3 linked regions of the Struthio camelus genome follow. The protein of the gene in region 2 purifies or fractionates together with the protein of the main gene of each other region. This does not show direct contact. Links are inferred from orthologs where the notes say so. Each region holds a gene or a part of one and is shown on either strand. Other genes may lie near its edges. The genes, in order: MED13L, MED9 and MED25.

What was found.
Region 1: the proteins of MED9 (region 2) and MED13L purify together in Homo sapiens (affinity purification with mass spectrometry; 5 studies listed by BioGRID and IntAct, with this or other methods). This does not show direct contact. The link is inferred for Struthio camelus from reciprocal best matches to the Homo sapiens genes MED9 and MED13L.
Region 3: the proteins of MED9 (region 2) and MED25 purify together in Homo sapiens (co-immunoprecipitation; 3 studies listed by BioGRID and IntAct, with this or other methods). This does not show direct contact. The link is inferred for Struthio camelus from reciprocal best matches to the Homo sapiens genes MED9 and MED25.

The regions. Positions count from the first base shown.
Region 1 is NC_090958.1:5,775,221-5,778,961, reverse strand, and holds the start of MED13L (mediator of RNA polymerase II transcription subunit 13-like), read right to left. Parts: upstream 2,650-3,741; 5' UTR 2,514-2,649; coding exon 2,442-2,513; intron 2,197-2,441; exon of another isoform or gene 2,179-2,196; intron 1-2,178. UniProt on the Homo sapiens protein: Component of the Mediator complex, a coactivator involved in the regulated transcription of nearly all RNA polymerase II-dependent genes.
Region 2 is NC_090956.1:3,992,746-3,996,486, reverse strand, and holds the start of MED9 (mediator of RNA polymerase II transcription subunit 9), read left to right. Parts: upstream 1-829; coding exon 830-1,002; intron 1,003-3,741.
Region 3 is NW_027182651.1:79,610-83,350, reverse strand, and holds the start of MED25 (mediator of RNA polymerase II transcription subunit 25), read right to left. Parts: upstream 2,558-3,741; 5' UTR 2,438-2,557; intron 889-2,437; 5' UTR 875-888; coding exon 747-874; intron 1-746. Other genes in the region: FUZ (protein fuzzy homolog), read left to right, coding at 3,523-3,621. UniProt on the Homo sapiens protein: Component of the Mediator complex, a coactivator involved in the regulated transcription of nearly all RNA polymerase II-dependent genes.

The sequences.
Region 1 (3,741 bases), on a different chromosome or scaffold from region 2:
AGCAGATTATAACTGTTTCAGAAGCATAATTCTGCAGTCAAGAACATTACTTTTTGACTCAAACCCAAAACAACGCCTGAGATAAAAATTTAACATTCAATTCTAATAGCAGAATCAGTTTAAATACAGCTTTGCAATCCACCTCGTTCCTAAAGAACGGACGATTCCCCGTTAACAGTTGATTAGTTTGTGCATGTTTTTGTTCTGTTGCATTGAAAAAGTAAGTAATCAGCAAGAGCGTCTTTAATTAGTAATCCAGACTACCGTAGCTTTAACACATGGTAAGTTTTGAGACAAGTATGACAATTTGAGGTTAAAGGGTCAATGCTTCTGACCAGATATTTCCAATCAGTATTTCCTTTCTCAATACGGTGAGACTTTCATTGATAAATATGGCCTAATGAATACTAATGCTATTGGAAATAAATCACCCTAATAATTACTGTGTTTGTATATACGTGCTTATATAAAAATATTATTTCATCAGTTATTTTTTGCAAGTAGAGCCAGAAAAGAATAAAACTATTATAGTTTCGTACATAGCACCACTTCACAGGTATGGTTAGTTCCCACAAAATTACATGGGAGATTTAGGGTTGCAGATTAGACCTATTACTAAAACACTTTCAAAAGAACTCTGCAAAATTTATTTCACCAATATTACAGGTGCATTTAAAAATTTTCAATGTTTCCTCAGCCTAGTACGGTGAAATAAAACAGAATAGATAGATGCAACCACAATAACCATGAAATAACTTAATGTTATAATTTATGCTAATTGAGCACCAACATTATTTCACCAGTGACAGATTTGTGGATTGCAACTACATGAAAAGTTATGCTTCTCGAAAACATGCTAATCAATTTTCCATGAATTAATAGGGATTGCACAATTTGATTTTTTTTGTGAAAGAGTAACTATCCATTATCTTGCTCTTGCAATCAGATACAACCATCTCCCTCATGCTTATCATTTTATTTTTCTTAGTGTGTAAGACCAGTGTATTCAAAAAAAATCACCATTACAATTCCTGCAGCATTCTTATATACTTCTAAATATCAGAAAACACTATCACAAACAGAAACGTAAATATGAGCCTAAATAATGTCTAACTGTTCAATAAAAAGCCAAAATAAGAATTTTATTTATTCTCACAGAAGAATCTCCAGGCCAGCTTCCTAGCAGAACACACAGGCATAGACTACGGCCCTTGTCCCAGATACTTAACAGATACAAGCCACATAAAAAACACACACATACAAATTAAAGAAAACAGAGGCAGAAGAATGATAGGCCATCACACAGCAAAAAGACTGATCATCTGCATTTTCAATTCACTTTCTTTTTTCCTTAATTCTTATAAATGCAATAACAGTCATTTCCTTTCTTTTGAAAAAAAAAATCAAATATATGTATCTACCTTCAATTCTTACAGAGCACTGGGGAGGGCAAAGGGTTTTATCCACCACAAATCTTTCATACATTTATCCCCAAACTTACACTGCAAGTTTTTGTTTTAACTATACTATAACACGCATTAAAAAAATCCCTCCTTCCCCTAGACATTGGCCCTAGCAGCACTAGAAGACTGTTGGTGATCTAACAGTCTTGTCACTCGCTGATCTGTTGTCCGCTCTGAAGGGATAAGGTTGCTGCAGGTGGCCGGTAAAATAAAGCAAGACATTTCCAAGTGACATTGCCTTTATACAAAAACTAATGGTTTTCTTGTTTTAAATTCATACAGACCCTGTAGCTAGTCACAACTGATACCACGATTTTTGTAAAATTATACCATGCAATGCAAGTACAAGTTGTCAGTTACCAACCAGAGGGGATGACAGCACCTAGATCATCAAGCTATCCAGCATACTACATTTTCAGCTACCGTTTTTCTTCTGAAAACAAAAAATTAAAAGCTTCTTTTTTTTTTTTTTAAATCTCTTGTCCCCAACCACAACCTGTTCAAAGAAGGGTCAAAACAGCTGGCATCTAGTCAGGAGAGCCCAGAGGTAAGTCCGAGAGGCAGTCACGCTACGCAAACTGTTCGCTGCTGCTGAAATGGCGTTTGCCATTATGAAAGAAGAAGAGGGGAGGAAAAAAAAAAAACCCACAGTTTGGTAGGCACAAAGCACCAGGGCACGGAGTGCCAAGGGAGGCGGGGAGAAAAGACTGTTTACCAGAGAAGATGGTCGCACATGCCGGGCACACACGCAGACACGCAGGCACTCCCGCAGCCCGGCGAACGCAGCTGTGCGAGGAACACACGCACACTCGCGGCAAGCCACGTTAAAGAGCAAAATAAACACGGGGCGCCGAGCCGGGGGAGGGGCCAGCGCAGGAGCAGCCCCACGGGCCCCGACTATAAAGCCCCCGGCAGCTGCACCCAGCCGGCAAACTTGCCGCGCCGCCCACCCCTGCGGGGGCTCACGCAGGCACTCACCAGCGAGAAGAGGTTGGAGTGACAGTCCTCCAGGCTGGCCCCGTTCGCCACCCAGTTCGCCGCTGCAGTCATGATCCTCGGCGAGCCCGGCCGCCAGAGCGGGGCATGTCTGAGGAGACGGGCCCGGCAGGCAGGGAGAAGCACCGGCCACTCCGCGACGCAGCCCGCTCCTGCGGTCGCCGGGCCGGCAGCCGCTGTCCTGCCCCCGGCCGCGGCCGGCAGGGGGCGCCGGGCGGGCGGGGGGGGGGGGGGGGGCGGACGGCGCCCCGGCGGCGGGCGGGCGGGCGCCGAGGCGGCGGCGGCCGCGCTCCTCCTCAGCCGGCCCCCGCCAAACGGTGCTCGGGGCGGGCGGCGCGGCCCGGCAGGGGCCCCCGCGGGCCGGCTACGCGGCCGCTCCGCTCCCGGCCGCTCGGCGCCGCGCGGGGCGACGCCTCCTGCGCTGCTCCAGGCCGCCGCGGCACCGCCGGGCGGAGGAGGAGGAGGAGAAGGGGGGGGGCGCCCGGGGCCCCGCTTCCGTGTCCAGGTCGGGCCCCCCCCCGCTCAGGGCGCACGTTGCGGTGAAGGGGGGGCGAGGGCGGCGGCCCCCCCGCGGCGGCGGCCCCTACCGCGCACGGGCCGGGCGGGCGGGCGGGCGGCGGGGGAGGGTCGCGGGCCCCGGGCGGCGGCGGCGGCCGCGGGGGGGGCGCTGTCTCGCGGGCCGGCGGAGGCCGTGTCCCCTCCCTCCCTCCCCGCCCGGCCGCCCCTCGCTGCTGCCGCCGCTGGCTGCGGGTGGATGGTGTTTTCCTCCTCCTCCTCCTCCTCCTCCTGCTGCTGCTGTTGCCGCCGCCGCCGCCTTGTTTACGCTCCGTGCGGGGCCCCCGGCGCTGCGGGCGGCGGGCGGCAGCCGCGGCCCGGAGAGGGAGCACTGTCCCTGCCCGTCTTCGCCACCCTCCGCCTGGCGCTGCCCGCCCAGCGGCCCCGCTCACCAGCTCCTCCTCACACACTCGCCTCTGCCTCTCGCCACTCTGACAGCAATGGCGGCCGCCAGGCGCAGCGCGCCTCGCCATTGGCCGCCGCCGCCCCACGTGACGCGCGCCGGAGGGCGGGGGCCCGGCGCTGGGGCTCCCTCCCGCGGCCCCTCCCTCACCCCGCCGCGGCGCCCGCCGGGCCGCTGGGGGCGCGCGGGAGCGCGAGCGCGAGCGGGAGCGGGAGCGCGAGCGCGGCGCCGCCGCCGGTGCGGGGGGAGGGGGGAGGGGGCGGGCGCCGCCGCCGCCGCCGCCCTCGACGCCTCGCGACCCCGCGAACCTCGCGGCGTCCCCGC
Region 2 (3,741 bases):
TACAAAAGAGGGGGATGTGCACAGGGATTCAGGAAATCAGACTGCTCTCGCTAAGGGGCTGGGAGCTGCCCCTGGGGGCAGTGCAGCATGCTGTTATTGGGACCCCCTCCTGCTCTTCGCCCTTGGGTTACGGGATCCCCCACTCTGTCCTTCCTCCAGCTTCCCACCTTCTGTGCAGAGCTGGGTCCTGCGCAGGACAACGCACCCCCAGCTGGGAGAGAACAGCTCAGCTCCAGCCTTCTCCTGCTGGACCACCCCGTATCACCCGCCTCGCAGGACGGCCAGGCGCGCAGCAGCCCACAGCCCGTCTCAGTGACGGTGCGGCAAAGCTGCTGCTCCAGCCCCACCCCCAGCCTCAGATCCCAGGCCCCAGCTGCAAGTTCAGGCCCAGACCCACACCGCAAGTCAGGCCCAGACCCAGGCCTGAGACCTCAGCCCTGGCCCCAGACCCAGGCCCTGGCCGCAAGTTTAGGCCCCGGCCCCAAGTTCAGACCCAGGCCCCGGCCCTGGCCCAGGGAAGAGCCTCAAGTTCAGGCCCCGGCCCCGGCCCCGGCCCCAGGGAGAGCCCTAGGTTCAGGCCCCGGCCCCGGCCCCGGCCCCGGCCCCGGCCCCGGCCCCGGCCCCGGCCCCGGCCCCGGCCCCGGCCCCGGGAAGAGCCCCACGCTCAGGCCTCGGCCGCGGGCCCGGGCTCACACCGCAGCTCAGGTTCAACCGCCCGCCCCGGGGCCGCGCATGCGCAGTGTGGGCAGGGGGCGGGGCGGGGCAGGCGGAGCCCCGCCCCGTGACGTCACGCGCGGCGCCGGCGGCGCGGGCCGGGGCCGGGGTCGCCATGGCCTCGGGGGGGGGCACCGGCCGCGCCGCCGAGGAGCCGCCGCCGGCCGAGCCGCCGGCCGAGCCGAAACCGCCGCTGCCGCTGCCGCCGCCGCTGCTGCCGCCGCCGCCGCCGCCGCCCGGGCAGGAGGAGTTCTCCTTCCTCCCGCTCGTCCACGACATCATCAAATGGTAACGGCGGGCCCGCCACCCCGCGTGCCACCGGGCCCGGTCCGTCACCGGCGCCTCGTCACGGGGCCCGGTCCGTGTCACCGGCGCCTTTTCATGGGGCCCTGGGCCTGGTCCGTGTCACCGGCCCTCGTGACGGGGGTCCGGTCCGTGTCACCGGCCCCTCGTCGTGGGACTCTGGGCCTGGTCCGTGTCACCGGCCCTCGTGACGGGGCCCAGTCCGTGTCACCGGCCCCTCGTCGTGGAACTCTGGGCCCGCTCCGTGTCACCGGCCCCTCGTCACGGGGCCCAGTCCGTGTCACCGGCCCCTCGTCGTGGGGCCCGGTCCGTGTCACCGGCGCCTTTTCATGGGGCCCTGGGCCTGGTCCGTGTCACCGGCCCTCGTCACGGGGGTCCGGTCCGTGTCACCGGCGCCTTTTCACGGGGCCCTGGGCCTGGTCCGTGTCACCAGCCCTCGTCACGGGGGCCGGTCCGTGTCACCGGCGCCTTTTCGTGGGGCCCAGTCTGTGTCACCAGCCCCTCGTCACAGGGCCCTGGGCCTGGTCCGTGTCACCGGCCCTCGTGACGGGGGTCCGGTCCGTGTCACCGGCCCTCGTCGTGGGGGCTCTGGGCCTGCTCCGTGTCACCGGCCCCTCGTCGTGGGGCCCTGGGCCCGGTCCGTGTCACCGGCCCCTCGTCATGGGGGCCCAGGCCTGGTCCATCACTGGGCACCTCATGGTGGGTGCACTGGGCCCAGTCCGTGCCACCAGCCCCCTCGTCCCGGGGGTCTGATCCGTGTCACCAAGCCCTCGTCATGGGGCCCCGGGCCCCGTCCGTGTCACCGGCTCCTCGTCCCGGGGGCCGGTCCGTGTCACCGGCACTTCGTCCCGGGGGCCTGGTCTGTGTCACCGACCCCTCGTCCTGGGAGTCTGGTCCGTGTCACCAGCCCCCTCATCATGGGGGCCTGGTCCATGTCACCAGCCCCTCGTCCTGGGGCCCTGGGCCCGCTCCGTGTCACCAGCCCCTCGTCACGGGGTCCGGGCCTGCTCCATGTCACCAGTCCCTCGTCATGGGGGCCCGGGCCTGGTCCATCACTGGGCACCTTATGGTGGGTGCACTGGGCCTGGTCCGTGTCACCGGCCCCCTTGTCCTGGGGGACCAGCCCTGGTCCGTGTCACCGGCCCCCTGGTCATGGGGGTCCGGTCCGTGTCACCGGCCCCCTGGTCTCGAGGGTCTGGTCCGTATCACCAACCCCTTCGTCCCGGGGGTCCGGGCCCGATCCGTGTCACCGACCCTTCGTCCCGGGGGTCCGGCCCTGGTCCATGCCACTGGCCCCCTGGTCATGGGGGTCCGGTCCGTGTCACCGAGCCCCTCGTCCCGGGGATCTGGGCCCAGTCTGTGTCACCAGCCCCTTGTCATGGGGGCCTGGCCCTGGTCCATCACTGAGCACCTCATGGTGGGTGCACTGGGCCCGGTCCATGTCACCGGCCCCTCGTCCCGGGGGTCCGGTCCGTGTCACCGGCGCCTCGTCCCGGGGGTCTGCTCCATGTCACCGACCCCTCATCACAGCAGCCCGGTCCGTGTCACCGGACCCCTCGTCACGGGGTCCGGGGCCGGTCCGTGTCACCAGCCCCTCGTCCTGGGGCCCCGGGCCTGGTCCGTGTCACCAGTCCCTCGTCATGGGGGCCTGGGCCTGGTCCATCACTGGGCACCTCATGGTGGGTGCACTGGGCCCGGTCCGTGTCACCAGCCCCCTCGTCATGGGGGTCTGGGCCCGGTCTGTGTCACCAAGCCCTCGTCACAGGGCCCAGGCCCAGTCTATGTCACCGGCGCCTCGTCACAGGGCCCTGGGCCCGATCCATGTCACTGGCACCTCGTCATGGGGGTCCGGGCCTGGTCCATCACTGGGCACCTTATGGTGGATGCACCGGGCCCGGGCCTGTCACCACATGCCTCGTGGTGGGTACACTGGGCCTGGTCTTGTCATCAGGCACCCCTCATCATGGGGGCAACTGGGTCTGGGCCTGTCACCGGGCACCTCATTGCAGGGGCAGCCCTGCACCAGGCCTGCTCCCCATTCCTCTGCCCAGGTGCCTTATCCCTGCTCCGGCCCTTCTCCGTCTTCCCGATTGCGGCCTCCTCCTGCGCGCCCTGGACAGGGAGCAGGGCAGTGGGACCTTCCTTCCCCACAGTGATACTCTTTGACCGCCCCCAGCGTTTCCTTTGCTGCAGACCCCCTTGTTCTCCTGACTGGGGTTGCTGGGGAAGGTGTTACAGGGAGGTGGCGTAGTCCCACACGCGGCTCCGTGGTGAGCCACGCCAGTACATGGCAGCGTACGGATGATCCAGGCGATGCAGGTTATTCTGATGGCCCAGGTACGCTGCCCCGTTGTTATACACCCTCGAGCAGAGAGCATTGGACTGGTGCTGTGTTATTGCCCCAAACTGCTCTACTGTTTGGCTGATAACAGCCTCAGAAAGTACAGGCAGTCCCAGCACAGAAATGCAGTCCATTTCTAGGGTGTTGTAAAGAGGAAGAAGGCTTTTACAGTGGTGGAGGTTGAATTGTTCTCTTCCTGGTTCAAGATCAGTTTTAGGGGTAAAAGGTACTTGTACATGGGTCCTGAGGGGTGTGGTGTTCCCAGGAGGTTTCTGCCCCAGGGCAATAACCCCTTTAGAGATGTCTATCTGAATTCCTGGTGGGAGCATGGCTCTCTGCCGTGAACGTCCGACCAAGGCCAGCTCCTTGTTCTCACCTAGGCA
Region 3 (3,741 bases), on a different chromosome or scaffold from region 2:
GGGGGGGTGAGTGGTTTGGGGGGGTTCTCAGGGGTTCGGGGGAGATTCTAGAGGATTTTGGGGGGCATCATGGGGTTTGGGGGGGCTCCAGGTGTTTTTGAGGGGGGTCCCTGAGGTTTGGGGGGCCCTGAGGGTGGGGAGGGCCAAGAATGTTGGGAGGATCCCCAAGAAATTGAGGGGGTTTCAAGGGGGGGTTGTAGAAGGTCCCCAGGGGTTTGGGCCGGCCCTGAGGAGTTTTGGGGGGTCCCTAAGGGTTTGGGGGGAATCTTAGAAGTTTTGGGGGGTCCCTAGGGGGCTTGGGGGGATCCTCAAGGGATGCAAGCAAGTTTTGGGGAACTTTCCATCATTTTGGATGGATCCTTTAGGAGTTGGGGGGGCCCCAAAGGTTTAAGGGGGGGAAACCTGGGGTTGGGGGCACCTACAAGGTTTTGAGGGGTCCCCAAGGTTTTTTGGGGGGCCCTCAAGGTTTTGGGGGGGGCTCAAAGGGCTTTGGGGACCCCCCCTGGGTTTTGAGAGGGGGGATCTCTTGGGATTTGGGGTGGCCCCGAGCTTTTTGTGGGGGGGGCTCCCCAAAATTTGGAGCCCCCTGGAAGCAGCAAGAGTTTTGGGGGCAATTCCCGGAGTTTAGGAAGGTCCTAGAGACTTCAGGGGGGTCCGCGGGGTTTCGGGGGGGCACCCAAAGTTTCGAGGGGGTCCCCAGGGTGTTGGGGGGGGGTGCAGGTTTTTTGGGGGGGGGGGGGGCTCACTCGATGGCGGGCAGCAGGTAGTGCTTGCGCAGGGCCTCGAAGTGGGGGCCCAGGTTGGCCGTGCCCTCCACCACGAACACCACGTCGGCCACCATGGCGGGGGGGGGCTCCAGCGCCGGCACCACCATGGCCCCCGCGGGTGCTGGCGGGGGGGGGGGGAAAAGGACAGCACCCATGGGACCCTCCCCGACACCCACGTGCCCCCCCCCAAACTCTCTTCTACCCACAGTTCTCGCCTGACGTGTGAGGCCCCCCCCGCCCCGGCACCCATGGACTCCCCTCAGTCCTCCTCTCCCCCCCCCAGCACCCATGGGGCCCCCTTAACCCTCCCCAGCACCCATGAGCCGCCCTCAGCCCCCAGGGACCCCCCTAGGACCCATAGGTGCCCCCGACACCCATAGGTGCCCCTCAACCCCCATGGACCCCCAACTCCCCCGGCACCTATAGACCCCCTTAACCCCCATAGAACCCCCACCCATAGTCCCCCCTAGACCCCTATGGACCCCCCCCCAGCACCTATAGACCCTCTCAAGGCCCATAGACCCCCCTTCCACCTATACACCCGCTCGACCCCAATGGGCCCCCCTCGACACCCCTAGCACCCATGAACCCTCCCTGGCACCCATAGACCCCCTCGACCCACACAGACCCCGCCAGCACCCGTGGGTCCCCCTTGACCCCCCCCCGGCATCCATAGACTCTTCCACCCCCACAGACCCCCCCCTGGCACCCATAGGACCCCTTTGACCTCCCCTAGTACCTATAGATCCCCATAACCCCCCCCTCGACCCCAGTGGGCACCCAAAGACCCCCTCAGCCCCCATAGAACCCCCCCGGCACCCATGGACCCCCTCAACCCCCCCAAAGAACCCCCCCGGCACCCATGGGCCCCCTCAACCCCCCATAGAACCCCCCCCCAGCACCCATGGGCCCCCTCAACCCCCACAGACCCCCCCCAGCACCCATAGGACCCCTTTGACCTCCCCTGGCACCTATAGATCCCCATAAGCCCCCCCTCAACCCCAGCGGGCACCCACAGACCCCCTCGACCCCCATATAGCCACTCAGCACCCATGGGCCCCCCTCGACCCCACCCGGCACCCATAGACCCTCTCAACCACCCCTGGCACCCACAGACCCCCTCGGCCCCCCCGGCACCCATGGGCCCCCTCAACCCCCACAGACCCCCCCCCAAGCACCCATGAGCCCCCTCAACCCCCCTAGACCCCCCAAGCACCCATGGGCCCCCTCAACCCCCACAGACCCCCCCGGCACCCATAGACCCCCCTCAACCCCCACAGACTCCCCCCAAGCACCCATGGGCCCCCTAGACCCCTCTAGACCCCCCCGGCACCCATAGACCCCCCTCAACCCCTCTAGACCCCCCCAAGCACCCATGGGCCCCCTAGACCCTGCTAGACCCCCCCGGCACCCATAGACCCCCCTCAACCCCTCTAGACCCCCCCGGCACCCATGGGCCCCCTCAACCCCCACAGACCCCCCCCAAGCACCCATGGGTCCCCTAGACCCCTCTAGACCCCCCCGGCACCCATAGACCCCCCTCAACCCCTCTAGACCCCCCCAAGCACCCATGGGCCCCCTCAACCCCTCTAGACCCCCCCGGCACCCATAGACCCCCTCGACTCGACCCCCCCCCGGCACCCATAGACCCCCCCCGCCGGCCACCGTACCGTCCACTTCCTCTTCGGCGCGAGCCGGCGGCTGCCGGAACTGCTCCCCTTCCGGTCCGCCCGCCGCCGCCGCGCATGCGCGGGGAGGGAGGGGCGGGGCGAGCCCTGGCCCCGCCTCCCCCGCCGTCGCCGCGGCAACCGCTTCGCTCCCGGCAGGCGCCGCGCGGCGCCAGCGCGCCGGACATGGCGGCGGCCGGCGGGGCCTGAGCGGCGGCACCGGCACCGGCACCGGCACCGGGGGCGGGGCCAAGAGCGGGGGCGGGGCGCGGGGGCGGGGCCTCAGCGGCAGTGGGGGGAGGAGGGGGGAAGGGGGCCGGGTACGGCCTGAGTGACAGGGCCGGGCTGGAGGGGGTGGGGCCTGAGGGGGCGGAGCCTGAGGGATAGGCGGGGCCTGAGGGGTCTGGGGCGGGGCCTGTAGGGGAGGGCGGAGTCTGACAGGGTGGGGAATTGGGTGGGGCCTATAGAGGAGGGTGGAGCCTGACAGGGCAGTGCCTTAGGGGTGGGGCTTGTAGGGGAGGGTGGAGCCTGACAGGGTGGGGCATTGGGGCGGGGCCTGTAGGGGAGGGCGGAGCCTGACAGGGTGGGGAATTGGGTGGGGCCTATAGAGGAGGGTGGAGCCTGACAGGGCAGTGCCTTAGGGGTGGGGCTTGTAGGGGAGGGTGGAGCCTGACAGGGTGGGGCATTGGGGCGGGGCCTGTAGGGGAGGGCGGAGCCTGACAGGGTGGGGAATTGGGTGGGGCCTATAGAGGAGGGTGGAGCCTGACAGGGCAGTGCCTTAGGGGTGGGGCTTGTAGGGGAGGGTGGAGCCTGACAGGGTGGGGCATTGGGGCGGGGCCTGTAGGGGAGGGCGGAGCCTGACAGGGTGGGGAATTGGGTGGGGCCTATAGAGGAGGGTGGAGCCTGACAGGGCGGTGCCTTAGGGGTGGGGCTTGTAGGGGAGGGCGGAGCCTGACAGGGTGGGGCATTGGGGCGGGGCTTGTAGGGGAGGGCAGGGCCTTGAGGGGGTGGAGCCAGGCAAAGAGGGCCTGAGGGGAGGGGCGGGGCCTGGTGGAGAGGGCGGGGCTCGGGCGAGAGGGGGCGGGGCCATGGCAGAGGGGGGCGGGGCCCTGTCCCTGCTCTGCCTGGCGGCCAGCAGCGGGGTGCCCCTCTTCTGCCGCTCCCGGGGCGGCCCCGCCCGGCAACAGGTGAGGAGCTCCGCCCCCCCCGGGGGGCCCAGGCGTCCGGGAGGGGCCCAGGTGTCCAGGGATGGACCCAGCTATCCGGGGGCCCAGGTGTCCGGGAGGGGCCCAGGCAGCTGGGAGGGG